Astyanax mexicanus: one gene and its partners. The protein of the gene in region 3 purifies or fractionates together with the protein of the main gene of each other region. This does not show direct contact. Links are inferred from orthologs where the notes say so. Each region holds a gene or a part of one and is shown on either strand. Other genes may lie near its edges. The genes, in order: csnk2a2b, tcp1, dcaf7 and protein diaphanous homolog 1.

Evidence for each region.
Region 1: the proteins of dcaf7 (region 3) and csnk2a2b purify together in Homo sapiens (affinity purification with mass spectrometry; 8 studies listed by BioGRID and IntAct, counting the BioPlex papers as one, with this or other methods). This does not show direct contact. The link is inferred for Astyanax mexicanus from reciprocal best matches to the Homo sapiens genes DCAF7 and CSNK2A2.
Region 2: the proteins of dcaf7 (region 3) and tcp1 purify together in Homo sapiens (affinity purification with mass spectrometry; 3 studies listed by BioGRID and IntAct, counting the BioPlex papers as one, with this or other methods). This does not show direct contact. The link is inferred for Astyanax mexicanus from reciprocal best matches to the Homo sapiens genes DCAF7 and TCP1.
Region 4: the proteins of dcaf7 (region 3) and protein diaphanous homolog 1 purify together in Homo sapiens (affinity purification with mass spectrometry; 5 studies listed by BioGRID and IntAct, counting the BioPlex papers as one, with this or other methods). This does not show direct contact. The link is inferred for Astyanax mexicanus from reciprocal best matches to the Homo sapiens genes DCAF7 and DIAPH1.

What each region holds. Positions count from the first base shown.
Region 1 is NC_064417.1:7,238,273-7,246,128, forward strand, and holds the start of csnk2a2b (casein kinase II subunit alpha'), read left to right. Parts: upstream 1-4,843; 5' UTR 4,844-5,573; coding exon 5,574-5,677; intron 5,678-7,856. Other genes in the region: ccdc113 (coiled-coil domain-containing protein 113), read right to left, coding at 31-267, 1,880-2,032, 2,174-2,282, 3,174-3,265.
Region 2 is NC_064420.1:22,435,523-22,442,518, reverse strand, and holds the start of tcp1 (T-complex protein 1 subunit alpha), read left to right. Parts: upstream 1-3,863; 5' UTR 3,864-3,936; coding exon 3,937-4,009; intron 4,010-5,508; coding exon 5,509-5,594; intron 5,595-5,703; coding exon 5,704-5,832; intron 5,833-6,940; exon of another isoform or gene 6,941-6,996. Other genes in the region: uncharacterized protein LOC111194026, read right to left, coding at 262-333, 456-566, 712-834, 946-993, 1,135-1,257, 1,359-1,406, 1,716-1,751. UniProt on the Homo sapiens protein: Component of the chaperonin-containing T-complex (TRiC), a molecular chaperone complex that assists the folding of actin, tubulin and other proteins upon ATP hydrolysis.
Region 3 is NC_064426.1:21,247,382-21,255,108, forward strand, and holds the start of dcaf7 (DDB1- and CUL4-associated factor 7), read right to left. Parts: upstream 3,073-7,727; 5' UTR 2,694-3,072; coding exon 2,556-2,693; intron 1-2,555. UniProt on the Homo sapiens protein: Involved in craniofacial development. Acts upstream of the EDN1 pathway and is required for formation of the upper jaw equivalent, the palatoquadrate. The activity required for EDN1 pathway function differs between the first and second arches.
Region 4 is NC_064409.1:66,225,101-66,233,125, forward strand, and holds the start of protein diaphanous homolog 1, read left to right. Parts: upstream 1-4,890; 5' UTR 4,891-5,593; coding exon 5,594-5,704; intron 5,705-8,025. UniProt on the Homo sapiens protein: Actin nucleation and elongation factor required for the assembly of F-actin structures, such as actin cables and stress fibers. Binds to the barbed end of the actin filament and slows down actin polymerization and depolymerization.

The DNA of each region.
Region 1 (7,856 bases), on a different chromosome or scaffold from region 3:
TAAAAAAGTATTCTTGGCAGAAATCTGTACCCTGTTTTGATTGAAGACCTTCAGCATGTTTCCACCTTGCACACTGAGTTGCTGCAGGTCCTGGCTAAGTTTGTCAATTTGCTCAATATACTGTCTCTTCTCGATCTTCAGCTTCTGGAGATCCACCTTGTGAAAAGTTTTTTCCACCTCCTCTTTCTGCCTCATTTTTAGTTTTAGCTTACGCTTCTGTGTGTGACGAGCCGTGTTTTTCTGACACAGCCTCTTTGCGGGAGTCTCCTGTGAAGCAGAGAGCAACAGATTTAATCGTATGATTTATATATATATATATATATATATATATATATATATATATATACAATTATATATATGATATATAAATTATATATATATTATATATATTAGGTTTGTTGTATGTATAAGTTCCCTACATTTTGACAGTATTTAATAAATGAATAAAATGAAAGAAAAAAAGGACTAGTTCACAGCAATTTATTTGAATTAGCCAGCATTCAAAGTTCTCCTCCATATGCGCAGTGCATTTACAGAATCTCACCAGAGGGGTCTCTAACGGGCCGCCTTTTAAAAGAAAAAATTCTGCACCAAAACAAACACAGAGTATTTCAGCTTTCTAAATTAAATTTCTAAATAGATCTGTTTTCGGTCTTGACTCAACCCTTTGCTTTCCTTTAAAGGGGCACTAAACCCCCTGATTTTTGCTGACTCCACCCTCAGCTCAGATTTAAAAAGGCTAAAAAATGGGAGGGGCACTGGGTGATGTATGGGTTTAGAGGCAGGGCAGGACGAAGAGCTGATTGGCTGAGCTGCAGCAGCAGCAGTGTGCCTTTTATAGCGGTGAGACCCAGATGGTTGGACATCAGTTGATTAACTGATTTGCACCTTGTATTGTGTTTACATACAAAAGTACACGGACACAACATCCTCAACTATAGTTGAAAACAGTTGAACCTGTGAGGGTGCTGTAGAGGTGGAAAGTACCACAATAAAAGCATTTTATTAATGGTTAGGAAATGTTTGCAAACATTTTAAGCAGGATTGGTATGTTTTGTTACTTTAAAGGAACACATTCAGATATTAATAAAAAAATATATAGTTTAGGGTTTAGTGGCTCTTTGCAGATGCAGCAATACAGGTGCATGCTTTTACTTAATCTACTGTAGGTTTGATTGTTGCAAACTTCTTATACTAATAACAATTAAAAAAAATTCTATCAAAATACTTCCTGAAGCTTCGTTATCTTGTCTAATTTAAATAGCTAAAAGTGGAAACCTACTCAAAACTCAGTATGGATTTTACCGGGCATCTGCTCACACTGAACCAGAAAATTATTTATTTGAACTTTATTTACCATTTATTTTTACATTTTTTACCTTATTCTTTCACAAGAACCTGAATATGGACCTTTATTTTGGTAAAAAACTAACCCAATATTCATGACTGACTGGCTGACTGGTTGGCCACAAGCACACGTAAGCCCATACACACACACACACACAAGCACAGAGACACACACAGGATGTTTCAGGAGTGGGACAGAACATATAAATAAAGAACGCTGTTTAATGTTGTGTGCTTGCTCAGCTGAAAGAACGTAGATTGTCATTTGCAGGTTCCCAAGCCCCTAAAAAGATTGGCAACACCTCTGGTTACAAGTACTGATGCAACACGTAAAACAATTATCTAAATAAAAAGTACTAAACTCATGGAAAATACGTAGTGAAATAAAAGTGGAAGTAGGAGAAAAAATGTATAGTTCAGTAAAATACCTAAGTACAATAGTAAAGTAGTTCTACTTTGTTATACATCTGTCTCTCTTAGGAGAAAAAATGTGAAGAAATCTTTAGTCAGTTTAATTAAAAAGTAATATAACCTTGTCTGAACTTTGTCTTAGCTTCTCCAGGTCATTCCTCAGCTCCTCCATCTCCCTCTGAGCAATGAAAACCTTCTGCTCCAGCCCCAGCAGCTGTGATGATTCCTTCTGAGATGGCCTCAGAACTTTAGATTGCCTCCTGCGCCCGGGATGCTGGTAAATAATATATGGTAAAGATCATGATACTGTAAAGAACTTTTTGAAAGCTTGGAAATAGTGTTTAAATTATCAACCCTATGCCAAATATCATTGCCAACAGTCAAGTGATGGAAGACATGAAACATATTCACTCACCCCATGTGCCATTGATGCAACAGAACCCAAATGTTCTGGCACAGCCTGAGAAACCAGGGCTTGGTGCTCAAACATCTCATTCTCAGCCTGTAAGGCTGCATTGAAACGCCTGCATGATAGAAATTCACATCAATTGCAGGTTATTAGCTGAAAGTGAAGATACATAAACAACAGAACATGGTGGACCATCTTCTGCTCTAGCAGATCTTTAATCTGCTAACTTCCAGGCTTAAGAAAGTCAGGATCAAACCATTGGAGTTAAAAGTTGTTTCTATAATTTTATTACCATATCTGACACCCACTTTGTTTTGGCCATTATGTTTTTTTGTGCTGCAAATACAGGTTTTAAATAATTAGAAAGATATATAAGAGATGTAAAAAAACGAATAATAATGAAACCCCAATTATATCTAAGCCAAATAACTCTCTTACTCACTAGAACTCCCCCAATAGACCACTGCAGTCCTGCATCATTCTGTAGTTCTCGTATGCCCATATTTGGGGTTCCGTTCTAAGCTAAATTTCTGAATGGGCTTTTCAAAAACTTGTCTTTATTACACTCTGTGGTAAATAAATATGTGTAGAACCCTATACGTTATATTCTGTGTGCATTTTCCTACTAAAAGCATCACTAGATCCTCCGACGTACAAGATTGTTTAAGAGGCATTTTTTTTTATCTTTTATTTACTGTTATTTTAAAACTTATTTTAATTTTAAATCAAAATTAAGTCAAAATAAAGGTTGATTGATTCATTTATATGTGTAATATTATTTTTTTATTTAAAAAATAATTATTAAATTGTATTCACACAGTGTTAGCTAGTTAGCTTAGTGTAGCAGCACTGTAATGCTATGTGGTTAAATTAGCCAAGTTAGCTAGCGAGCTAACTGCACACTAAAATAATACAGGTTTATTTTAAACAGGAGCGTATTTCCTATTAACCACTGTTCTCTGAACATGCTAAGTTACATTATTAATAAACGTTTTCTATGTTTTACCTCAAGTCTTCCAGCTGTTCACGCGTTAGTTTCATATCTACTTCAGTAAAGCTGCCTTTCTCCGGGTCCTTCATGGTTGCTATGGTAAACATGGCTGTCGCCAAGGAGGACAGCGGAGCTTAAAGGCTGAATGAGCATTATAAACTGTTAGAGGTGGCTAACCCAGGTCCAGAAAGTAAAACTCCATCCCAAGGTTTTGTACCAACAACCTGGGCGGCTCTGCTGCATCTCAAACCCTGGGATGGGTTTTTAATTTCAGGACCTGGGTTAGCCACCTCTACTGTTGTTAAGAGTCATTCATTTTAAACTAATAAACAACTATCTTTACTACAAAAACAAATAAATAACAACGAATAACAGATGTTAATGACAAAGTAATCAATTAATAATCCATATTATTAAGCCTGTATAACATGAATTTTATTTTATTTCAGAGAAAAAAAAAACACTGCTTAAAATGAGGTCTGGCTGCATAATGTTTTCTGAGGTAAGAAACGAAAAACACGTCTTAAATAAGTAAATGAAAACAAAAAAGGTATTTAAATCTAAACATGTTATAACATTATTTATAACATTTATAACATTTTATCTATTACTGGCATAATGGCTAATTTGGTTGCTGAAAAGATTACTCCACCTTCAGGTAGAATGTTAGACCAAATCCTTACCCTTATTTTTTGGAGGCTTGTCTTGAGAGATTTAGATTTTTAAAAATAACATAAAAAGTTTAAGGGATTGTGTAAGTAGCAGAAAACACCATGCCTTAGATGGTAAGTAAAATAAAATGTAACAGTAGAATTTGGTGTAGTATGTTATGGACAAAGCAAAAAAACCTAAATCCTTCCCTTGATTTAACAAAGGTAACTTCTCCAAACTTAACATTAAGAATTTATGGATGGATGGATTTAATAATTAAAAAATGCATACTGCACAGCACTAAAATACATACTATTCTTTCAAATGAACAAACACTGTTCCCTTATGAATGGATGGAAGGATACATTAATTGATTGATTGAATTATTGTATTTAATGATTTAAAAATACACTGCACAAGAGTTATTAAAACACTTTAAATCATTGAGAGCAAAACCACAATACAGCTTATTTCGTAGTCCTCATTATATCGACACTTTCCTAAAATAATCAACTAATTAATTTTTTCAAGTTTTATTGTCATTTAGAGCATTTATTTGCAGAAAATTAAAAATTGCTTTCAGAGCTCAAATAATGCGAAGAAAACAGTTTCATATTCATAAGGTTTTAAAAGTTCAGAAATCAATATTTGGTGAAATAACCCTGTTTTTTAATCACAGCTTTCATGCATCTTGGCATGTTCTCCTCCATCAGTCTTACACACTGCTTTTGGATAACTATATGCCACTACTGGTGCAAAAAAATCAAGCAGTTTAGCTTAGTTTAATGTCTTGTGATCATCTGTCTTCATCTTATCATTATATTCCAGAGGTTTTCAATTTGGTTAAATCAAAGAAACTCATTATTTTAAGTGGTCTCATTTTTTCCAGAGCTGAAGATGGATTCAAAAAGTTAGTGAGAAGTGTAGTAGTGAGTTGTAGTGAGTAGGGCGCACGCTACAGAATGGAACGCGCCCTAGAAATACTAAGATGGGTGGCAGCAGTTTGCAGACATGCGCAGTAGGGGCGTTAGAGACTATTTCCTAGTACACAGACGCTAGTCTTCTTCCAGGTTACCGTACTGCGATCTGTGTCCCTGCGGAGCGGAGCAGGAGTCGCGCAGGGAGACTTTCTCCACAAATAAAGCCCTACTACCGAGCGCTGGAGCTCCTGCATGGGACTGCAACGGGTTTGCACGACCCCCAGCCCCCCGTACTGTGGTGGAGATAGAAAGCAGGCCAGCTAGCAGCAACGGTCTGCACTCCTCCTCTCCCTCTCTCTCTCTCTCTCTCTTTCTTTCTATTTCTCTTTCTATTTCTCTCTCTCTCTCACTCTCTCTCTATCTATCTATCTCTCTCCAGCCGGCTGGACCGAAGCGAAGGGCTTAACGCTGCTGCTGCTGCACGCCAACTTCACCACTCCGGCACAGTTACTCTGATTTCGGTGCTGCTGGGGGATTTCTCGCTGGACCTCCGCAGTTCGGATCTGGGATTTGAAGCTGGCTGGGGGTGGGGGGGGGTATAATCCTGAAATATTCTGACCAGTAAACCCCCCCGCCTGCCTCCTGGGTTTGGGTTTACACACGCTGGTGGTTTGTTTTATTTAAATTGAGTTGTTTTTTTTTATTATAATTATTAACTTTTGCTGATTCGTCGTTAAGAAGCCCCGTTTCTCCATCTGTACCAACTCCTGCCCGCCTCTCTCGCTCGGCTCCGCGGCTTTAGCCCTGTCCGCTGTACCGTTAGCTCCTCTCCCGGAGCCCCGCCATGCCCGGCCCGGTGGCCGGCAGTAAAGCCCGAGTGTACGCCGATGTGAACACGCTGAAGAGCCGGGAGTACTGGGATTATGAGGCTCACGTGCCCAGCTGGAGGTGAGAGACCAGCCTTAACCCTAAAAACACATTCCCGCGTAAAATCTGTAGTATTTTACTTATTCATGCCTCTGTGTTCCACCCCCAAAACCTGCTGCTGCACGACAACACTGTTTAGCCAATTAAAGGGAATTATCTATCTATCTATAAGTATATGTATCTGTCTATCTGTTTTTGTATCTGTCTGTCTATCTACTTATATTTAGATAGACAGTATATGTAGATAGTCTGTATATTTATGTCTGTGTTTTTAAATCTGTCTGTCTGTCAGTAGGTATATTTCTCTGCTGTTTTTAAATCTATATCTATCTATCTATCTATCTATCTATCTATCTATCTCTATCTATATCTTTTTGTCAGTCTATCTATCAATCTATCTATGTGTAGATTTATCTATCAATCTCTATTGATCTGTCTACGTGTAGATCTGTCTGTCTGTCTGTCTGTCTAGCTATCTATGTATGTCTATCTGTAGGCCTGTCTAATTATAGGCCTGTCTATATATAGGTCTATCCATCTATTTATTAATATTTCTGTCTGTCTGTCTGTCTATACATAGGTCTATCCATCTGTTTATTTATATTTCTATCTGCCTATCTGTAGGTCTGTCTATCTATCTGCCAGTATATCTATCTCTCTGTATGTCTATCTATCTATCTGTTTTTCCATCTATCTATCTGCCTGTCTATAAGTCTATGTGTCTTGCAGTCTGTATAGCTGTCTATTTGTCCATCATATTATCTAAGTTTTACTCTATCTGTTCGTAGGTCTGTCTGTCTACCTGTCCATCTATGACTGTTTGTCCATATGTCCATCAGTCAGTATATCTACCAACATATCAATCTATCTCTGTATTTCTCTTTTTGCCACCTGTTTTTGCTGACAGTCTGTCATTGCTCTGACTGACTTGAGGACCAGTAGACAGATAAACCAAGACAGGTAGATGGTAAAAAAGATAGACTGACTTACAGATAGACTGATTAAGGAACAAATGGGTAGATAATTCATCTTTAATTGGTTAAACAGTGTGTGTGTTTGTGTGTGTGTGTTGGTCATGCTGGTCTGTCTAAGAGTCAGTTTATGTGTTTAACACTCTATAGCTTTCTATTTGTCTAACAGGTTATCTATGTTTTGCTCTATCTGTTTGTATGTCTGTCTGCCTGTCCATCTGACTGTTTGTCTATCTGTCTGTATATCTGTCAGTATATCTGCCTACTTATCCATTTATCTGTTTTGCAACCTGTCTAGGTGCCCATCTCATATGTCTAAAAAATTGTCTGTCTGTTTAATTATCTGTTTAATGGGGGGGCGATATGGCCATAAAATATGGTAATTTCGCGAAAACGATACTCTTGGCGTTATGATAAAACACTGAATTAAAAAAAAAAAAATTTCAGGAATGATCTACTGCATCAAAATGAAAATGTAATTTTATTATTGCATACGATATGATATGGCACACCCCTAACTTGGATATTAAAAATAAGAATTTGATCAGATTTGTAACAGAAGTCAATGATCCAGAATGTCATGATACTAATTCTAATAGATATGTCAAGGGAATTGAGAATTTTCTGTGAAATTTTCTTTTGCTAAAAACATTATTGAATACCCAACAGTTAAGCTGTTTTTCATATGGGGCAGAGATTTTTAGGCTAAATGAATTTTTGGAAGTGATGTTTATAATAGTAGGCCACAGTGACGGGAGAAAGAACTGTGAACGCCTGTCAGCTGATTTGTTCTCAAATGTTTATATTAGAGTAGGGTTGCACTGATTCTGGGAATTCTGGTCCAATACCAATATCCAATATTAAACATGTAGGCTATATATCTGCCAAAGTGGATACACATATTTATAATTTGCAGAGAGACTGGTAAAACTGGTAAAACATTTGTTTGGTAACAAATGTAACATTTGCAACCTACTAATCTAACCAGAACAGCACCATCCATCTGTTATCAAACCCCAGAACCTACTAATCTAACCAGCACAACACCATCCATCTGTTATCAAACCCCAGAACCTACTAATCTAACCAGCACAGCACCATCCATTTATCAAACCCCAGAACCTTCTAATCTAACCAGCATAGCACCATCCACCTGTTATCAAACCCCAGAACCTACTAATCTAACCAGCACAGCACCATCCATCTGTTATCAAACCCCAGAACCTACT
Region 2 (6,996 bases), on a different chromosome or scaffold from region 3:
TAAAAATATATAAAATATCTATGTATATAAAAAGTGTAAGTGCTTACTGTATGTGTATGAGGTTTACTGTGATGTTATTAAATACAATATGTTAAAATTACTCAAAATCCATTTACCGTAAGCATCCAAATGGATTTCAAGGTGTAATGCTTTTAAAACCCTTAAAGAACCACATATTAAATAAACACTGTACTCATTACTTTCACGTGCCTTTCTCACAGCTTCTTATATGTACTGCTTTAAATAACACTGAGATCTGACCTGTATTTTAGGAGGTGGCTCCAAACTCTTCTCTCTGACATTGTCTTCCACGAGGTCCGAGTCACACACAGCCTAGAAGAAAACAGGGGAAGAAAAAAACAGGTTTCCTAATGAACTGTATATCTATAATCATTTGAAGATAGTAGAGAGGCAGAGGTTAAATAGATTATATAGGATTAACTGCAAACTCTTACCTGTGCAACTGGACCTGGGACATCAGGCTTAGTAGAGTCCAGCCTGTGGGCGGGGGCTGCCTCCCTTACCGGCACCAGGACTCTCCCACCATGCCGCCTGGGCGAGGAAAGCTGCAATGGAGTGGAAGATAGAGACTTTAAAGACTCATATTAATAGATATTTAACAGATTTAAAGTGGGATATGGTTTTGGAAGCAGCTGTATGACTGTGATGCTTTTCTGCATCTTAATTCATTGTTTATTGTGCTTTTCTCACCTTCTCGATGAGGGCCCTCAGCTTCCCCTCGAGGAACTCGTGCTGAACCCTCCTGAGCTCCTTCCAGGGGTCTGGACCCTCACCCTGCCACTGCAGACAGGCGTCCCTCAGCTCCTCAGTGCCCTTCAGGAACATGGAAAGAAACACAACTCAGGATTATATACACTGCAATATAAACTAAACATGCTGCTTTTTTTTACGCAGATCAATAAAAACAGTTTGATAGAGACTCACGCAAAAAGGCAGGAGAATGGGGGGGTCGCAGGCGCAGTGAGACTCCACCTACAACAGAAAATAAATTCCAACCATTTTAAAAAACATAAATCAACATATGTTTACATATGTATGCATTTACAGTTTGTGAAACACGTGACTGTGATGCTCCTCTGCATCTTAATTAATTGTTCATTGTGCTTTTCTCACCGTCTCAATGAGGGCCCTCAACTTCCCCTCGAGGAACTCGTGCTGAACCCTCCTGAGCTCCATCCAGGGGTCTGGACCCTCACCCTGCCACTGCAAACAGGAGTCCCTCAGCTCCTCAGTGCCCTTCAGGAAAATGGAAAGAAAAACAATTCAGGATTATATACACAATATATGCAATATAAACTAAACATGCTGCATTTTTAGGCAGATCAGCAATAACTCACGCAAAAAGGCAGGAGAATGAACTGGTCTCCTGACCCACCAGAAGCCCCCTGTAACAGAAATACAAGAAAAATGTATTACAATAATTTTTAAAAATGGGATTTACTGTTTACTGTTACTACTGACACTGACACTGAACACATATGCCACCCTTTATGGCACCCAAGCTAGGAACCCTTTCCAGACTAATACAGTTATTTAATAAAATACTAATGCTATGCTAACTAGGTTAGGCTAGTTATTCAACACCACTTCCTCAGACTCCGCCTGCAGAACTAACAGCTGCTGTAATTCATGCTGCTCCTAGTTTTATCTTGTCACTGTAAATTTGGTGTAAAATTAGATAATGGTTTACTTACCTCCAGGAGATGGTCTTCACTCCGCCAAAACTCCATGTCTGACCGCGGGGTGTCAGTATACCCACACCGGTTTCGACACCTGAAAAACAAAATATATGTGATTAATAACAGAAAATACAAGTAATATAACAATAATATAATAATTAAAACACAATACAGTTAATAAAACAGTAAATATTAAAGAATAAACGGGTCTGTTGTCCAAAAAATCGCTGGATATCCTCAGTGAAAAGCTGCTGCTGCTGCTGCTGCTGCCGCTATTCTTGAGCTCAGGAACTCTGTAAACATAACAATCATCCAATCGTCTCGCTGAACGAGGACGCGCGCCGCGTCACTTATGTAGCCATAGAAACGCGTATATTATGTTTTTATTTAATTTTTTCCTTATTTCTTATTTTTCAAATGCTTTGCGTGTCTGACTGAAAATATGTATACTTATACCACAGTCATTAGTACAGTTATCTCAATTATAGTGCAATTACATGTTGTGGTGAACCCTGGTAGCAAAGAACATTAAATACATTAAATAAACTTTATTTAAAAAAAACTTGTATAAAAATAACAATAACAACAACAACGACAACAACAATAATAATAATAATAATAATAATAATAATAATAATAATAATAATAATAATCATTATTATTATTATTATTATTATTATTATTATTATTATTCAAAATATTTAAATAATTTAATCTATGTGCAGGAATAAAATAACTTTTTTAAATGGGGTGGAATTTCCCATTTTTAAATGCTTTGTATGTCTGACTGTTAAAATATTTATTTTTATAACACAGTCATTAGTACAGTTATCTTAATTATAGTGCAGTTATATGTTGTGGTGAACCCTGATAGCAAAGAATATTAAATTAATGATTATTAATGATTAATGATTTTTACATGCAATACAACTATAATAATAATAATAATAATAATAATAATAATAATAATAATAATAATAATAATAATGATGATTATTATTATTATATAGTAATAATAATAATAAAATAATACTTATAATAATAATAATAATAATTTTATTATTAATTTAAAATACATTTTCTTTGTGCCCATTCGCACAAAGAAAATTAAAATATTTAGATAGTAATTAGCATGGATTTTTTTCAAGACCACCAAATGTATAGTAAATTTGCATTTTAATGTAGTAAACATAAAAAAGTAGAACATTTAATTTAATAAAATGTTTTTTTTTTTCATTTTAGTTTTATTTATTTTGGTTTATTTTAGCTTAGTTTTCTGTAGTATATTTTAGTTTAGTTTTGTCTTGTTTATTTTGGTTTATTTTATTTTAGTTTATCTTACTGTAGTTTATTTTATTTTATTTTATTTTCCTATAGTTTATTTTATTTTATTTTAGTTTAGTGTACTTTAGTTTAGTTTAGTATAGTTTATTTATTTATTTGGTTTATTTTATTTTATTTTACTGTAGTTTATTTTGGTTTACTGTACTTTATTTTAGTTTATTTAAAATAATTGTACTGTAGTTTATTTTATTTTAGTTTATTTTGGTTTATTATTGTTCATTGTTTTGTTTATTTTAATTTAGTGTAGTTTAGCTTAGTTTATATTATTGTAGTTTATTTTTTTTTTAGTTTAGTAAATTGTAGTTTATTTTATTCCGTTTAACTTATTTTATTTTAGTTTAATTTATTTTCGTTTATTTTATTTTAGTTTAGTTTGGTTTAGTTTATTTTACTGTAGTTTAAAGTATTGTACTGTAATTGATTTTATTTAATTTTATTTTGGTTTTAATTTATTTTACTGTAATTTATTTTATGTTGTTTTAGTTTCGTTTATTTTGGTTTATTATTGGTAGTTCTGTTGTTTTTGTTTATTTTCGTTTAGTTTAGTTAATTGTAGTTATTTCATTCTATTTTATTTTAGTTTAGTTTAATTTATTTTGGTTTATTTTATTTCATTTCATTTATTTATTTATTTATGTATTTCTTTTTTTTCTTTATTTGTTTGTTTATTTAGTTTAGTTAATTATAGTTTATTTCATTTTCATTTAACTTATATTATTTTATTTGAATTTATTTTGGTTTATTTTACTGTGGTTTAATTAAATTTTTGTATTTTGGTTTGTTTAATTTTATTGTATTTTCAGCCGATGGGCTCTGGAAGGTTCCAGGCCGGGCGGCAGTTCTTTACCCAGAGTGCACCGCGGCTCCTTCTCCTCCTTCTCTCCGCTCCGTCATGTCTGTGCTGGACGGTCCGCTCAATGTTCTCGGTCAGAGGACCACCGGGGAGTCCGTGCGGACTCAGAATGGTGAGTTTAACCGCGGACCGGCTCCGAGACCCGCGCTCGGTTCTCTATGGATCAGCAGAGAGAGAAAACGTGCCGAGTTACAGCGGTTCACCGGCCCATGCTAATGCTAACGGCTAACGGCTCCCTCAGCCTCCACGTGCGGATTAAAACTGCTCAGACTCGCCTGTAGTTTAGTGTGTTACCGGTTAAAGATAGTAACCTGGCTAATTAGCGGATTTAAGGGTCTTTATGCGCGAGTCTCTGTATTAATATCAGTATTAACTGTTTCTTTATCAGCAGCCCGTTATGTTTGCTGTCAGTGTTGCCGGTTCCGCCCGTTAGCTAGCCGGCTAACCTAGCCTAGCCACTGTTATTAGCCTGTTGTTCAGCATCATGGAACATTACCCTATTATTTAGTGAATAATAAACTGTTAAAAGTTAAATGTTACACCGGTCAGTCAGTAGCGGCCCTGCTTGACAGAACTGGTCAGTGTTCAGTTTGTTAATGTTTATTTTAGATTCTGAATTTCTGGCTTTGTAATCCTGCTCCAGCAGAAAGCTACAGTATGCAAATCAGCCTGTGGGTCTGCAGCCACAGTGTGAAAGTGAGGAACTGATATCTGATCAATATCAGACATTTTAGATCAGTGTGATCATTGTTGGACTAAGTTCCTACTATATATAAATAACAGCTACTTCAGTTAAAGTAAATGTCTGAAAAGTCTTCTCTTAAGAACTTTGTGTAAAAATATCTACAATACTATTTAGCTCAAAATGTACTTGGGTGTTGAAAGTAAATGTCACAATTCAATGCAGCTCTGTTTTTTTGTAACTTCACTCTTGTTAATAACTCCTATTTTAAGTGTCCCTCATGGTAAATCAGCATTTTAAGTAAGGCTGGCCAACATAAATGTAATAAAAAGAATTTAACGATTTCTAGTTCTTATGTAACTGCAGTTTTTTATTTGTAAATAGGTGACACTGTTTTAAGTGATGCACAAACAGTTTTTTCCTTTTCCCAAAAATTAACCAAAAGGTAACATTGTTCAGTCAGGTTAGGATACACAAAGAATACGCAATGATTGTGTGCAATTTCATTGTACATTTTTCATTTTTTGCTGCTTAGTACTAAGAGAAAAAATATCGCACTGTTCTCATTTTACATGACAGTATTTACCAGATGGTCAATTATATCTTGTCTAATACAATTAATTTTGCTCTAATCATTGATGCAGTTATACTGTTGTTTCCATTATATGTTGCATCATTGCCTTTTTTTTTTATTTAGTCTGTTTACATTGTAATGTAATTTGTTCCAATACTGTGCAGCCCTAGTAACCAGCTGCAGTTAATCAATCACTGTCCACGTTTGAATAAATGTGGCTGTATTTTATAGAAAGTGTGTAATATGGGTATGAATTATAAAGTGGAATAATTGCCTAGTTTACAAACAGTGAACCTCTCCTGATGGCTAGATAATTGAACATGTTTTGATGACTTCATTTTTCTGTGTTTAACAGTCATGGCTGCGGCCTCCATCGCAAACATCGTCAAGAGCTCCCTCGGTCCCGTAGGGCTTGACAAGATGTTGGTCGACGACATTGGTGTAAGTGCAGCAACTTCAGATTATTAAGGCATTTAATAAAGTGTTGCTTTTGTTTTGAAGGCTTTCTGGGAATGCTTTTATCAATAGTGTGTGCTTCTGTTTACCGCAGGATGTAACCATTACCAATGACGGAGCCACCATCCTGAAGCTGCTGGAAGTGGAGCACCCTGCAGCAAAGGTCCTCTGTGAGCTCGCAGAACTGCAGGACAAAGAAGTTGGAGATGGAACCACATCTGTGGTAAGTTGCTAACTGTTATCTTTTCTTAGTTACAGTTATAGTTAAGAGTGTAAATGACCACTTTTTTTTTTTTTTTTTTTTTTAAAGAAATGTATTAATTTACTAGGTTAATTCATGCATCTTAAAGCCACAATATCTTATAGCCTCTCAATGATGCAAAGAATTGTTGTCAGTAGGCTTAAGCCTGCATCAGCCCACCTGTCTGCATTTAGAGTTAGTTATACAGCTCTCTTGTAGCCAATGCACAGTGCAAATGTAATTGCTTCAGGTTTGTAGACTTAACTCATAAACTTGTGTTGCTTAGGTTGTCTGATTACTGAAGTGCTTAATCATCGAATCTGAACTGTTCCATAAAAACCATCACCCGAGTTGAGTTTTCCCTGTATGTGGTTCACCATTTCTGTGTTCTCACAGCAGGAATAGTGGCCCAAATCTGAGTTTTTTTGCCAAGTTTTTAATATTTGTCTGAATAGTTATTGGGCAATACTTCACGCAAAGTTTCGGTTTAATCCTCTCAAGCCTTACTGTAACTATCAAGGAGTTCCAATTGCTGACAACTAGGGATACACAGACGTGGGAATTGTGGGCCAATATTAAACATTTATTTAGTTTTAGCCATGTTCATAACTTGGAGAGACTTGGAGAAACATCAGTAAGTATTGGTTTTGAAATGTTTGCCATGTCAGCCAATGCCTATGATTCTTAAAAAAAAAACTAAAAGCAACAATTGGCAGATACCGAAACGATTCCAATATCATTGTGTATTCTTACTGACAACTTCCATAGAGTGCAGTTATTTCTCCAAAGTCACTTTCTTTGCCTTGTCTGATATTTTTTTTAGGCCTATAATTTTTAATAATTTATTATTATTTGTTCAGCAATTTCTTCTGAAATGTCTTTAAACTCAGAGCGGTTGTAATATGTGCCTCGTAATCCATTGTTTTGACATTAAAAATAAAATTAATTCTGATCTGGCTATTTTTGCGCATTGTATATTTATTGGATTTTAATTCCACATATCAAGTGGCCGGAGTAAAAATGAAGAGCACCTTATTCAGTTTATTTTAGCTGTTCACACTGCCACACAATTAATACACTGTACTGGCAAAGTCCTGTTTTTAGTACCACCCTCCTGCTCCTTATCAGAGTGTGTGGCTATGCTAA
Region 3 (7,727 bases):
AATAGAGATGAATGGAACTGCACAATCGATCCACAGCTCAAAAAAACGTTTCTCGCTTGTCAAAATTGCACAGTTATCAAAATAATCAGTTTCATCTGCCCTGAAAAAAAAACCCTGAGGGCTCCACTGCTAAGTATAAAAGGATATGCACTAGATATAGCAGTGGAATTTATACCTGAATTATCAAACAGGGATATTTAAATGTTTAAAAGGGATTACTTTTACTTTTACTGTCTAATAAACGGTGGAACATACTCTACACAGAGAGGGAAAAGCATTTGCTGTTATACTAAAAAAAGGTTAAGAAACCCCTGAACTACAGCATAAAGATTCAGGTGCTGTGATGGAAATGAAGCACATTGGTCTAGTTTACACAAGAGAAATCCAATCCTCAATGCAATCAACCTCGCACAGCTTTCACCTCCAACACTGTTTCTTACACATCTCATCTGGTTATCTAGGCCACTGTAGTCTGCTATAGTTCACCTGCCCTATACTGTGTAATGTTCTGCAGCGCCATGTTAACTTGGACTAGAGCAGAAGATCTGAATCAAGAGCAGGAGAAGACTGAACTGTACATTGCAGGTGGATTTATTAATCAGCAAAGAAGAATATCAGTACTATTAATATGATGCAATATTCCATATAACATGCAATATTTTCTGTATTTTTGTACACATACATATACTACCAACCCAAAGCTTTTAGAACCCCCCCCCCCCCACACACACATATTTTTACCCTTTATTTTGCCATTTAAAGTTCTTTGGGTACTTGATAAATTAACTAAAAGGGGAAAAAATAATTTTAGTAAAAATGTTACTACACTCACTACTGCAGCATTTACACACAGAACATTCAGTCCATCACCATAAAATTAAATTGCCTAATTAAGCCGTTAATATCAGTAGCATGAAAATTCATGAAATGACAATGACAGCAATTAGGTGTGTGCTACATTATAACACATTGTAGCACATGCACTAATATTGCAAAAATCCTCTGAAAATATTGAATCTGAAATATTGTAATTTAATTTAGGGCCATATGGTTCATTAGGGTACCACTTTTTTGCTGTTTATATCAAAAATAAAATGTATATTATTCTCAAATTATATCTGTTGACTTTCATTTATTTTACTTCAGTGTATTATTAGTTTCAAGACTAGGTGTGTGCCATATTGTATCATATGCAGTAATATCGGCAACATTTATGAGTATCGTGAATTAAATTATACCCTGAAATATCATGCTATATTACCCACCCCTAATTATCACCACTTTTTTTGCTGTTTTTAGCAAAAAAAAAATACTATTCTCATTTCCTATTATATATCTATAGGAGGCAGATTATATCTGTCCAGTATCATTTATTTTACTTTAATCCTGGATATATGGAGTGCATTATTTGTATCCTGAATTCTGGATCATTGGCTTCTGCTACAAATCTGATAAAATTCTTGTATTTTTTAATATCTCAGTTAGGGGTGTGCCACATCTTATTGTTTGGTAATATTTATTCTGTTGCATTATTCTGTCCTTGATTTTTTTGTCAATGTTTTCTCATATCATCAAGAATATCGTTATCACTGACATACCCTGAAATATTGTGATATTATTGCAAGGCCATTTGTCTTTGTAATCCTTGTTATCAACCATTGATATCTGAATATTCTTTAAAAACAAAAATTGAAAATGTCTGGAATATATAATAAGAGAAGGATGGATAATCACAAGCCATCAAACCAAGCTGAACTGCTTTTTTTTGCACAAGGAGTGGCATAAATTTATCCAAAAGCAGTGTGTAAGACTGGTGGAGAAGAACATGCCAAGATGCATGAAAACTGTGATTAAAAACCAGGATTATTCCACAAAAAATTTATTTCTAAACTCTTAAAGCTTTATAAATATGAAGTTGTTTTCTTTGCATTGTTTGAGGTCTAAAAGCTCTGCCACTTTTTTGTTTTTTCAGCCATTTATCATTTTCTGAAAATAATGCTCCAAATGACAACATTTCTATTTGTAATTTGGGAGAAATGTTGTCCGTAGTTTATAGAATAAAACAACAAGGTTAATTTTAAACATAAACCTATAAATAGCAAAATCAGAAAAACTGATTCAGAAACTGAGGAGGTCTCTAAGATTTTTTTCCAGAACTGTATGCAATGTGTAATTTCATTAAAACGCTAGTATTTATCAAGTGTAACGTAAATGTTAGATGCCCAAAATATTTTTTTAATGAAAAATGTGTTATTGTGACAGGCCTATTCAGTACTAACCTATAAGACACCTGCCATTATTTACAGAGATGTATGTTTGTTAATATAGAAACCCTGAAGGGAATCCACTGGTAAATTAAAAAGCTCTACAGTAGTTTTATATTCATTAACGTTCATTAGAGACCTAGAGGTGTCGGAGTACTTAAACACACAGTACAAGAGCTCCTCCATAAGGGGGTATGGAGGCCATTGGTAGCTAAACTAACCTAAATAAACATTAATAAAAACCTCAAATAACAAAACTCGTAATATACAGTGTAAAAAGCTTCTGTTTACCTTGTTGTTGTATTCCTCCACGAAGCTGCCGAGCGCGAGCCGAAAGCGCTTGTCGGGTCTGACGCTCCAGTTCATCGCGTACACGGTCCATGGCGCCTCGTATTTATAGATCTCTTTCCTCTTGCCGTGCAGAGACATGGCTGATTATTCCGCTCCACGCGAACCTCGACCGAGTAAAGCGGACTAACCTAACGACCAAATAAACCCAGAACACGCGCGACACGACGGGTTTACCACCAAAACACGACCAAACGCCCCGTTAATTCAGACAAAGGGAATGTCATAACACTCCCGCGGCTCTCCTGCAGCAGCCGAGCTAAACAACGCAGCTCCGCTCCGCCAGACCCGCTCCCTCCGCGTCTCTCTATATCTCGAACACAGCGCTAAATATCCCGCATAACAAAAACAGCGGATTACCGTTTATATCAGTAAATAACCGCCAACTCTCACCGGGCCTTTCCGCGGAGCACACAGCTGAAAAACGACAGCTCGAGGTTTTGATCGAAAATGTCTTTACCCGACTTCAAAATAAAAGTCCTTCTGCAGAGAGGCTAATAATCACAATAAGTTACTCTGTGTGGCGACTAAACATTTAAACATAACTGATCCTATTTTAAAACAGTTAGTTTAACAGTTCTAATTACATAGCTAATATAAACGGTTTTTGAAATATTTTAGATTTTTTAATTATTTACTTTTTTATTACTTTTTTCATTCTTAGTTTTTTATTATTATATACACACATGTGGAAAAAAATAAGAGACCGCCTCAGTTTCTGAATCAGTTTCTCTGGTTTTGATATGTATAGGTATATGTTTGGGTAAAATGAACAGTGTTGTTTTATTCTATGAGCTATGGACAACATTTCTTCCAAATGTCAAATATTGTCATTTAGAGCATTTATTTGCAGAAAATGAGAAATGGCGGACACAAAAAGATACAGAGCTTTTAGAGCTCAAATAATGCAAAGAAAACAAGTTTATGTTCATAAAGTCTTCAATATTTGGAGGAATAACCCTGGCATGTTTTCCTCCACCAGTCTCACACATACACACATATAATATAAATATGAATAAAGCTTAGAACTATTCTTTTCTGATTTGCATTGGTTTGAGAAGTTTTTATATGGATTGAGCAGTTTTTCTTGCATCAACAGTTTATTTTGTAGTCATCAGTCAGCACATAATGTTAAGGCATAGTGAGTGGAGTTTTTTTGTGTTTAGTTATTACATATAGTTAGAATTAGATATAGTTATTTATTCCTTCACTGAAATATAGTATGTTTATTGACACTCTTTGTCTGCATCTCAACAAATGATGACGTCCTGCCTATAATATTTCACTTAAAAGGCAATGTCCTGATTCGGTCTTTATATACAAATCAAAAGGAAAAAAATACCTTAGTATGGACAGCTAAAGTATGGACAGTTTACTGCTATATGTGAGGGTTTAGCTGTGTTGTCATTAGCAGTTGGTATCATTCATACTAGAGACCACAACTAGACATTTTAAATGTAATAAAAAAAAATGGAAAGAGAACTTTAAAGAATTAAAAAACCAAAGCGCTGTGAGAAACATAGTCAACTAAGCTAACTTAATGCCATTTTGTTAAAGGGAGCATTTAAAAAAATGGGACACTTCAATATTTACTGCACATATAAAACACACATAACAGTGCATAATACTGTATATACAGACATTAGGACAAAGTGGATACGAGAAACGGGCGCTAAACTTTTTAGAACAGAGGTGGGGAAAAAAAACAACTAAAGGCTTTAGGCCTAGCCCTAGTGAGCTTATTGGAGCACAACCCACGCCATATTCTTGAAGCCTCATTGCACGGATTTGTGGAAATGGGAGAAGGGTATAGCTGCAGCCTGGAGCACCTCCAAAGGGGAGGAACATACCTCCAAACAGGCGGAGCCTACCTCCAAGTAGGATGGTGCTTGATGTTAAGCGGTATGGTGTTTTTCACGACGTTTTGTGCTTGTAAATAACCCCAAAGAATAATTAATGAATCAATTTTGTTTATTAAATGTTTATTTCTTTTTAAATGCATTTTCTAAGAGTTGTTGCATGTTGTGCACATTGCAACCACATTTTATTTATTTAAAACGTTTAAACTTTTGCCATGCTGTGAATTTTTCAAATTATAAAATAGTAAAGATCTAAATAATAAAGGCAGTTGTTTATTCATAGCCAATACAATTATAAATACATACACACTACACGTATTTTATTATATTGACATTTAAGAAATATGAATAATCATTAATTGTTGACTAATATATTTATTGACATCCATGAGCTTTTTAATCACGGAAGACTTTTTTTTGTGGCATTCAGCAGAGAAATGGAGCTGTGTTGAGTGAGGTCTCCCTGCCTTACGATGTAGACTTTTATATAATATAATATAATATAATATAATATAATATAATATAATGTGATAGTACATTCTATATAACATTAAATTTGATGTAACAGAATAATAGTAATAATAATAATCGCGGAAGGCTTTTATTATGACATTCGCCGGAGCCGTGGTGAGATACTGTTGGTGGACTTCCCACTTGGAGGTAAGCCCCTCCCCTTTGGAGTTGGGGACTTCCCATTTGGAGCTAAGACCCTCCCCTTTGGAGGTGCTCCAGTCTGCAGCAATACATACTTGGGAAATGGGCTTGGGACGCGGCCCTCGCTTGCAGAAGACAGTACGACAGGCAGACGGCGAGCTGTGAGATACTGTCGACACAAGCAAGAAACGCCTGGCTTATAACGTCGTAATACAAGAAGAACTAGAAGGTAAATTGGTTACCTTTGAAACACTTTTGTTGCTTGTTTGTTTGGGGGTGTAGTTACATTTTAGAAGGTCAAAAAAGACGCCAAGCCATAATTTATCTCGTATTAAACCTACTGTCAGATACTGTAGTCTAAAAAAACGCTGAACTGGTAGCCTGTTAGCATAGAGTTAGCTCGCTAGTAGGAGCAGCCGGCTAACTTAGCTAAGATAGGATTTTACAGAGTTTAATATAAAGTCTTATATCTACATATAACATGTTGTTACTTGCTCTAAATATGATCTGATTTAACCTCTTAAATTCTTCTATTTTCCCCCGTTCCACCTTAAAAAGTGCAGCACCTCCAATCTGTCCGCTTTAACATTTAAGGTGGAACGGGAGAAATTCCAGCTACTTAGCTAACGTTAGTTGGCTAGCTAGGTTAACTATAGATAGCTTGCAATGAGCTGGTTTTACTTCTTTTAGCTACAGATAAATAACACCAGTCACAATTTTAAACGTTAATTAATTAAATATTTGTTAACGAGCCTGTGTGTTAGCTAGTTAACTAATATAAGTGACACGTTAGTGAAGCACCTGTCCTATTCCCTTATCTTAGCCACCAGAAAGCTAACGTAGTTACCTAGCCAGTAAGGTTATCTTGCTAGCAAGCTAATTAGCTTAGGTTAGCATAATTGCTAACTCATTCTCGACGTAAATATTGTTAGTATTTAACTAGTTAGATAATGTTTATGTTATTAAATCGCTATTATGTAACTTTATTTGTATAGGCAGTAATTTGTTGTTTTACTGTTTAAATATAGACGCCATCGCCACTATAAACTAGGTAGTGTAACCTAGGTAAGCTCGGCTAGGCTAAGCTAAATAAGCTGTTAGGCTCTAATCTGTCCAGCTGGTTAAAAGCAGTAGCTAGATTTCTGTGGAGATTTGATTTGTCAGCATGTTGGACTCTTAGATTAGGATTTGTCCCGATTGTAGTTGGACAGTTGCTTGATTACTAAAAGCGTGTGTTTGACCTTAGTTTAATGAAGGGGAACTGATCAGTTTGATATTTAGGGTGTAACGATCCACACCACTTTAGCTTCGATACGATTTATTCGTTGTGGTTATGTCTATTTTCAGTAGTTTTGTATTGTCTAAATTTATCCGGACACGTGATCATTCATTATTTCTCCCAACTTCAAATATTGTTTTTAAAGTAGAGTTTGTCCCGATTTAGTTGGAATTGAAGTCTCTGCTGTTTAGGAAAGAAAGGCTTTCTACTAGATCTTTGAGCATTGCTGTAAGGATCTCATTCTCGTTGCATTCAGCAACAAGAGCATTAATAAGATCATGATGCTGGATGATCAACACCACATTTTATTCTCATCTTGTCGTCCCTATCTCATCCCAAAAGTATACGATGTGCAATCATTAAATATAACACAGTTTCACTGTTTCTCAGCCTAATACTAGAAGCATTTGTACCACTATATCCCTTGCCTGTCATTAGGCATTCTGTTTATTGCATGTTTATTTGCATCAGTTGTATCTATTGGAAATACCTGTCTACAGCAATGAGACAAGCTTTATGTGTGCATTTGCTAAATTGTTTTAGCAGTAGGTACAGCTTTAAGTAGATGTATGCATTTATTAATAGGGTTGCACACAAAAATTGAAGTATTAAGGGGCAGTTGTTGTCTGCAAATTAAGCCCTTAATTTTTTCTTTTAATTGAAAATGTCTATTTAAAAAAAAGACAAATTTTAAAAACCTCTCATTTTTGTAGAGTAGTGTTTTGAGACCCTGTAAAGTGCGGCTTTTGTCTTAGATTGTTTCAGCCTTTTTTAAATACTGTGATACATGAAATGTTTATATAAAGGCTTTATTTTATTGTCAAGATGGGTTATAGCCTAGCCCTTAGGTATTTACCGTTGCTTTCTTGAGTGGGGGGCAGGGGTCCTTCCTCTGGTTTACTAATAACAGAACGTGAGTGTGGGGGGTGATGAGGGTACACTGTTGTAGTGTATAAATGACTGGTAGAGACGTTTGGTGTTTAAACATTTGCTCCTGGCCTCTACCCAGCTGTTCCCTATGTCACAGTTTCCCATTTGGGCACTTACATATGTATGCACCTTAATGGGTCACTAAAGCTCTGTAATGTATGTAGGCCTGTCACAATTACACTATTGATTACATTATCGATTTATTCTGAAATAATTAGACAGGACCTCAATAATATTTGATAATTGTGATATTGTCTATTTGAATTAACATTTTATTGCGTTAAAAGTAGTATAATTGCTTAGTTATGCTATTTGATCATCATTATATCAGTAGCAATTAATGATCTTAAATCACAGTAATATTGTTTATCGCAGTAATTTCTGGGATGATAT
Region 4 (8,025 bases), on a different chromosome or scaffold from region 3:
TCATTCAGTTAGCAGTCTTGCTCTTCTTCTTTTTTAATTACAGTGTCTTTTTGCAGTGATGTGCGTGGCTCTGATGAGGATGTGCATATGCTGGGAGGGAGATTAGCCCGGTCTATCTCTGCGTTCCTGGCTCCCACACAACACAAGGCGCCGTGCCCTGATAAAGATCACACTATCCGCTCTAATCCGCCTCCAGCTTAGCATCACATGCGCTGAAAAGCAGGTGTGACACGCCATAGAAAACGACTGACTGATAAAGAAATGGGACTGAAGGGGATCGAGTTTTGGAATTCGTGAGAACGTAAGGCCCAGGCTCATTTTACAGTCGTTTATTTCACTAGCATTTTCTACTAAACTTTCAGGGGGGAAGGGAGCAATGGAGCATGCTTAATGGCTATAGGCTTCATAATGGGCCTCATTAAAAATGTCGGACTGCCCTTTGACTGGCCTTATATCAGCAGCAGCGTGCAGTGCATCAATGATCAGCTCTCCTTAAGAGCATTACTGTGGCCTATAGAGTATGGATTTGTGGGTGTGGGTGTGTGTGCCTCATTGTGAGGACCGAATAGCCCCAGGATAAATAATGGTGAGAATCGACGGGTCCCTATAAAAGGAAAACACACGTTTTTAATAATGAATATAAAAGCACGAAGAAGAATCACTCAATCACCTTTTGTGTGGCACACATACGCATTCGACTTCCACCTTTAACAACATTGATGCACATACACACACACACAAACACACTGGTGACCACACATACACACACATTGTACCCAGAGGACGTGGTGCATCCCTAGTTGTGGTGCTATGGGGGGGTTAGTTTGCCTTGCTCAGGGTCACTTCATAGTCATGTTCTGTCAGTTTATGGAATCAAACCAGCAACCTTCAGGTCAGAAGGCTGCTTGTCCAAACTTTGGGGCATGGCTCCACTTTTATATGCAGTTTTTCAAAATTGAAAAATGTACCTAAGTGCAAAGGGTTTCCTTTAAATCCTAAGGTTAGGCTTAAAGTCTGAGCAAAATGTCTTTGAGTATGTCATAGAGCCATGTCTATAGCAGTCAATGAGCTCTCACCAGGAGGTACACTATCTACAGGGGTTGGACAATGAAACTGAAGCTGAAATGAAATTTCAGACAGCATCCTTTTGCATTCACAGTTAATCCTGTTGGATGTGGTTTGTCCTTCTTCTTGGTGGTATGCTGACATTAACCCTGGATACCGTGGCACTTGATACATCACAAAGACTTGCTATCTTGGTCACCCATAATGTTGTGTGCATTGCAATATTTTGAGCAAAACTGTGCTCTTATCCTGCTAATTGAACCTTAACACTCTGCTCTTACTGGTGCAATGTGCAATTAATGAAGATTGGCCACCAGGCTTCTCCAATTTAACCATGAAACCTCCCACACTAAAGTGACAGGTGTTTCAGTTTTATTGTCCAACCCCTGTAAATAGGGCAGATGGGAAGCTCCTTTATGTATTCTTATGGAAACACCCAAAGTCTTGATCAAAAAGAAAAAAAGAGACAAAATAAAACATGAAAACCCCCCTCAGAGACAGGAATTCGAAACATGCATGTATGTGTTTGTATCCACACAAGTGTGTGCATGTGTGTAATAGGTCTATTTTTAAATCGCCTGCCAAAGATCAGCCAACGTGAAGGCTCAATCCTGGTGATGCAGCTACGGTATCATTACTGCCTGCAGAGAAAAGAGTGCACAGAGGCACACCAATGCATCACAGAACATGCCCACACTGTTGCGCATGTGCGCAGATGTGGGTGGATTGAGGGGGGTGAAGGGAAGCGTGTAAATGGAAATGGAAATGAGTGCAGAAGAAATGATAATACTTAATCGCATCAACTGGAAAGAAACCAAAATAAAACTGGGTTGAGTCAGCACATTTTTTTTCACAAGGAGAGAGTGCTATGGACAATATGGTGTTGAATTTGCATGAGCAGAGTGACAGTGGCTGTTTCTCAGCTGTAAAAAAAACGACTGGTTTGCCAGAGATATCTCTTTCTGTCAGGCTTAGGTTTCTGTTGAATGTTAATTCTAGCCTGGACCAAATGAAGTGAACATAAGGCAGACGTCAGCAGGATTTCACCTGCTGTTCTTTAGAGTTTGAAATGAAGTCAAAAGGAACATGATTTGAGTTATGCTTCTGAAAATTATTCTGGTTATATGTTTAGTTTGTAACGGCAACTTGGTTTAAGCTTATGGATGTGTCATGTATGGATGTTGAGAACTAGGTAGAGCAGTCGCAACCATCTGATAGCTTCTCAAGCTCCCAGGAATACTTTTTAAAAAGATCCAGGATCTACTGCATCAGAATACAAACTAATGAGTTTCTGTAGTATGAAACTTTATATACGTTAATATGATAATGATACATGCAATATTAAAACAAAAGTGGATTGCGTGGGGAAACAGTACAATTAAAAGAAGTTTCTAGTACCATCTTGAGCTTCCTGTGGCACATTTGCCCAGATTGTTGCAGCTGGGTCTGTAGATCCTGTAAACTCTTGATAAAAATGAAAAAAGAATTAACTATAAATCTGTTGATAAGGGAAATGCTAGAAACCCCTTGCTGTGTATGGGCAAGCATTATCATGCTATAAAATAAAAGAAGGCAGATGGATGTCCTGCAATTAGAGGCTATACAGATGTACATGTAGTTGTCCTGCACATATTACTGAGCTTTTAGTGTCCCAAACAGAACCTAGATTCATTGTAAAAGATGACATGCTTCCAGTCTGTAGCAGTCCAAGTAGCCTCTGAGAGCATTTTATAGGGCAGTGAGGGAAAAAAATGCTATCCTATGGCAAGACCCAGTGTCTAATCAGGCCAGACCTATAATCATTTACATATCTGCTTGAAACAGAGTTATATGTTGAATTTTGCAGCCTATTTTTGTAAGTGTATGCACACTTAGAAAAGTAAGTACAGATTTGTACTTAAAAGAGTACAAAGCTTGTTGCCAGGGCTGTACCTTATATTGAGGTACAAAAAAGTACCTTCCAGTGAAAGTCCTTTTTTGTACCCATGTTTTTATGCCAGTAAAGATTATAAAGATTATAAACATTATCATCAACTAAATATGTGTCTTCATGATGCAAAAGTGTCTGGCTCTCAAATAAAAAAGTGTGCAAATAAAATATATATTGTTTATTAGTACAGTGGTACAGAATACTGAATGTACCCTTTGACTGGTTAAATGGTACAAATTTGTACTTATTGCTGTTAGAAATTACTTTGTACTTCAGAGGGAACAAATCTGACCCTGTAAAGACCAATATTGTACATTTGAGGGTACAATTATGAACAGTGTACCTTTGAGTAAAAAAAAAAATACTCCTTTCATACCTCTGTTTTTTTAAAGTGTGTAAATTATTAACTATAATTGTCTCCAACACTACTATAATAAACACATCATGAGTTATAATGCATCATTTATAAGTTACAGGAAAAGTAAATATCAACAAAAATGTAAAAAACAAACAAACAAAAAAACTAAAAACAAATCAAATATAATATAATGGCTGTAAACCACTTTCTTAAATGCCAGTTCTGGGAAGCTTCACATTTTAAGCATCCTCTGTTTTAGCACATCTGTTCAGGCTCATAAGGTAAATACCAAGTCCTTTATAAGGGGAATGGACTGTGTGTTTAGAGATCCAGGAGATGTAAGTAATAGGGTAGAGATTTATTGTTCTGTACGATGGTTTGGGGTATTCAACAAGATGGATTTCACAGTTTCTTCTAATTTCTATCATAAGTTTTTTTTTGCTTTGCTGCTGATTTTAAGATTTAAGAGGATCTACAAGTTAAGTTGTATTAATATAAATGAGTATACATAAGTATAAAATTGATGACAAAAAAAAGAGACAAAAGATAAAATGAGCAGAAACAAATATGGTTTACGAATAAAATTCCAAAGAGCCGAATTGATTAAAGAAAATAAATGCAATAAATGTCTAGTGAACAGTTTGAAATCTAAAAATGATGAGTTCCTTTGATTTTACCTAATTGAAAACCATCATAACCATCAAACAACGCTGAACTGCTTTTTTTTGCACCAGGAATGGCATAAAGTTATCCAAAAGCAGTGTGTAAGACTGGTGGAGAAGAACATGCCAATATGCATGAAAAAATGTGATTAATAACCAAGGTTATTCCACCAAATGTTGATTTCTGAACTCTTTCAACTTTATGAATATGAACTATTTTCTTTGCTTTATTTGAGGTCTGGAAGCTCTGCATCTTTTTTTTTGTTATTTTAGACATTTATCATGTTCTGCACATAAATGCGCTAAATGACAATATTTGTATTTGGAATTTGGGCAAAATGTTGTCAGTAGTACTCCTTAAACTTAAGTAATCTGGGTATCTGAGAATCCATGCTTTGTGTTACAGTCTAACACTTGTTGGCTTTTTTTGCGTGATGAAAGCCCGGCCTTTATAGCTGAGATTGAACATGCTGCTCCTAATCTTCACACATGGTGGAGCTGTTGGGTAACAGAAAAGAAAATCACAATATATTTTTTTTGCCTACAATAACTGTTGTGAACATATTTTAATAAAAAAAAGTGAAAAATGTATCAACCCTTCATAATTTTATTTAGAAACAAAACTTTAGGCACTTCACAGTCTTTAGTTCAGATAGTGGGCAGTTTAAAGAGCAATATATATGTAGGCTACAGACTGCCTGTAAATAACTGTGTTATTTTGAATTATTTATGGAGCATTCATTGAAATATTCTTTTTTTTATTTTGTAGTATTATTTTGTTTTTAGAAAAGTGAAAAGCACAGTGCACGCGCAGTGCTATCTCAGGTGAGGCCCTCGTGCGTAACCCCGCCCTCGCGCTGCTAACCTGCGTGCCTGAGAGCGAGGCAGGAAGCGACGAGGAGCCGCGCGAGAGCTTCTGTTGTTCTTTAGTAAACACGAGCGAAAGAGCTGGGAGAATTTAGCTAGTATGGGAATAAAGTTGGGAAATGTGCTTGTCGGGATGTTCGTCGAGGGAAACCACGCGGCGCTGGATGTTTCTGTGAGGGGGTGGTGAAGTTTTTTGAGGGTTTGTTGAAGGTTAGCAGAAGGTTGAGGGCGGTAGTTGTTAGCTAAGTACACACGAGTAGTCAACGTTACGTTAGCCAAACTTGAGTTAACACGTTAATAAGACGGTTAAAGTGCGTGTTTTTTGCGTTATTTCCACTTTAAACGGACTTTAGTGGAAGTAAACTTGTAGTAAGTCACTGATAGGAAGAGATTTAGGTGCTTTTAAGAGGGGGCTCCTATTCAAATCTCCCTCCCTTTTCCCTCCTTTATGTGGGGACTGCCTGTGTGACTGAGGGCTCTCTGGGTTCTCAGCCTCTTTCTTTCAGGCCGCGGGGATTTATTTAGCGAACTAACGTACTTTTTGTAGCAGTCTGGAGGAAGCAGAGGATAATTTCTGAGTTACAGTAGCTAACTCAGCTTTGTTAGTTAGCTACAGTTCACCGTCAAGAAAAGCGTGTAAAAAAAGCTCCACAGCGCCGGAGAACTGGATACTGCCTTCATTGTTTTCAATCAGTTTGGATTAGATTCACCATGGATCCTCCAAACTCTGGGAACTCAGCGTCCTCTGGTGCTTCTTCAAAAAGCACCAAAGAGAAGAAACCCAAGAAAACCTACGACGAGGGAAATGAGAAGAAGAAATTTGTGAGTATTTTGAGTTGGGTTAAAGTTACTCAAGCTGTAGCTGGCGGAATAACTAACTATAAACGAGCTACATGTCCCGCAGGTTTTCTCTCATTGCTGTCACATCACAGAAGCACTCACTGAATCACACCATGTACTGTCAAGTGTACTGTCATGAAGTGCTGAAGTGCTAAAGTGCTAGAAGGCTCTAAGAAGTGATTATGCAAAGCTAGCTAGCAGCTACACTCATCCAAACACTCCTGTTCCCATCAAACTTAGCTAGTTAGCTAGCTGTCTAATTTAATTCAAATGTAGTTTACTAGAAAACAAAAGAGAAGAGGAGGCAGCAGGCAGGCGTTTTTCTGAGCCATGCGAATCAAGCCTAGAGTAGTCTGTGCTTTTTCTGAGTTTAAGAGACAATCTACGTGCCCTGCCTTCGCTAATGATGAGGAAGTAACAGCAGTGTGTAAAGTGTGTGTGTGTGTGTGTGTGTGTGTGTGTGTGTGTGTGTGTATGTGTGTGTGTAAAATATAGGACGCCAGTGGAGGGGGTTTGGGTTTTACTCTAACAGACCATGTGGACTGTAACACTTTATGGGACATGTGTTGAGACAAGTTTCCCAGACAGGGGAAACTAAGTTTTAGCCAAGTCTTGTACTATATAGCATTTTAGCATTTCAAATAAATACTATATATTTAAAGGAAACATTTTGTCTACAACTAGGCTTAATCCCTGTCTAAGAAACCAACCCCATATGTCAAAAAAAAGTTGTGCACCCTTTTTACATTTAGATTACATTTAAGGCATTTGTCTGATGCTCTTTTCCAGAGTGGCTTACAAGGTTATTTCTATTACAGAGTTGGGCCAATTTAGTGTTAGGACTCTTATTGAACCCCAGCCTCCCACTTGGTAGACCATCAGCAGGTGGTTGTGTTATCCACTGTACCACACAAACCACTGTCAGTTCTAAATTTGCTAAAAGTTGAATACAAATCTACGTTTTTAGTGGTTTTGAGCACTGAATACACTATGTATAAATCTATGACTAGTATTAATCCCTGTCTGGGAAGTTTGTGGACCCCTTTCTATAACTAATGCAGAAATCCAGCTCTATAATTTTAAATCAGTTGCTGGGAAATATGTCCAAGTGCATGCACATAGCTTGTGCAGGACTCTCTGGAGCAGATAAATAAACATGAACCTATTGGCACTGTGCCTAATGCCAGGCATGGCACAGAGGGCAGTAAAGCCCCCAGCATTGAGCTGTGGAGTGGTGCAACTGTGTTCTCTGGAAGGTTGGTGCTTTTGGGAAGAGTTGGGGAGTTGAGAATAAGAGGTGAAGAGGTGATCATCCTCCTAACACACTGACCTCACTAATGCTCTTGTCATGCTCTAGCAATGCTCCAGAATTTAGTAGAAGGCCTTTGCTAGGCATTAGAAATAGATGCTCCAACAAAAGCAGCAATAACTCTTCTTAATGCAAAATGTCTTTTTAAGACACTTGATTTTACAAGAAGCTAAAAACAAACAGATTATACAAAATGTCTGTACCGAATGTACGTACATTATTGTACCTAATGTAAATAATTAAATTTCTTCTCAGACTTAAATGTGGTCAGTTTGATTCGGTTATTTAATGCTTAACATGTTTAAATGCAAGTCATGGATGGCATGGGAGTGTTAATGCCTGCCTGAACAGATCTCATTTTAAAATCAGATCTGCCACTGGTAGCCTCAAAGGCTGTCACTTGGCACACAGACTAGTTCAGCCAGTGTGGGCTGGACCTGTGTGTCTCAGCCAGCTGTAAAGCTTCCTGAGACTGTGTTTGTGGTTACTACTGGAAAAGGGAACTCTGTTACGTCATAGTCTGGGAAAAGTGAGTCAAGCCAGGCAGTTCAGCCTTGCTGGATGACAGCGCTCAGCGTGTTATCCTATCTCCCAGTCTTTTCATCTTAAGAAAACTGATATTCACCCTCCTAATGTTACCATAGATTCGTAAACACACCTGGTGTTTGTTATCCCTTTATAGTGATACCCATCCGCTGTCTCCCGGAGAGCTTGCAGACAATAGACGTGGTGCATCTTTATCTTTGCCTGCTTCTTCAGGCCTGCAAGGGATGCAGGATGAATAAAATACATTAATACACACAAACATATGTGTTCAGTGAAACTCATATGTTACTTTTTTGAGGGTACTCTAATTAAAACAGAACCACTTTACAGAAAACATTTTATAGCACGGCTTGTAAAGGTTCCTGGAAAGTTGGTCTGTAACATTCCAGAAATAATGTTTCATGTTATGTTGAATGTTGTTAAAACTTGTGATGTAATAACGATTTGC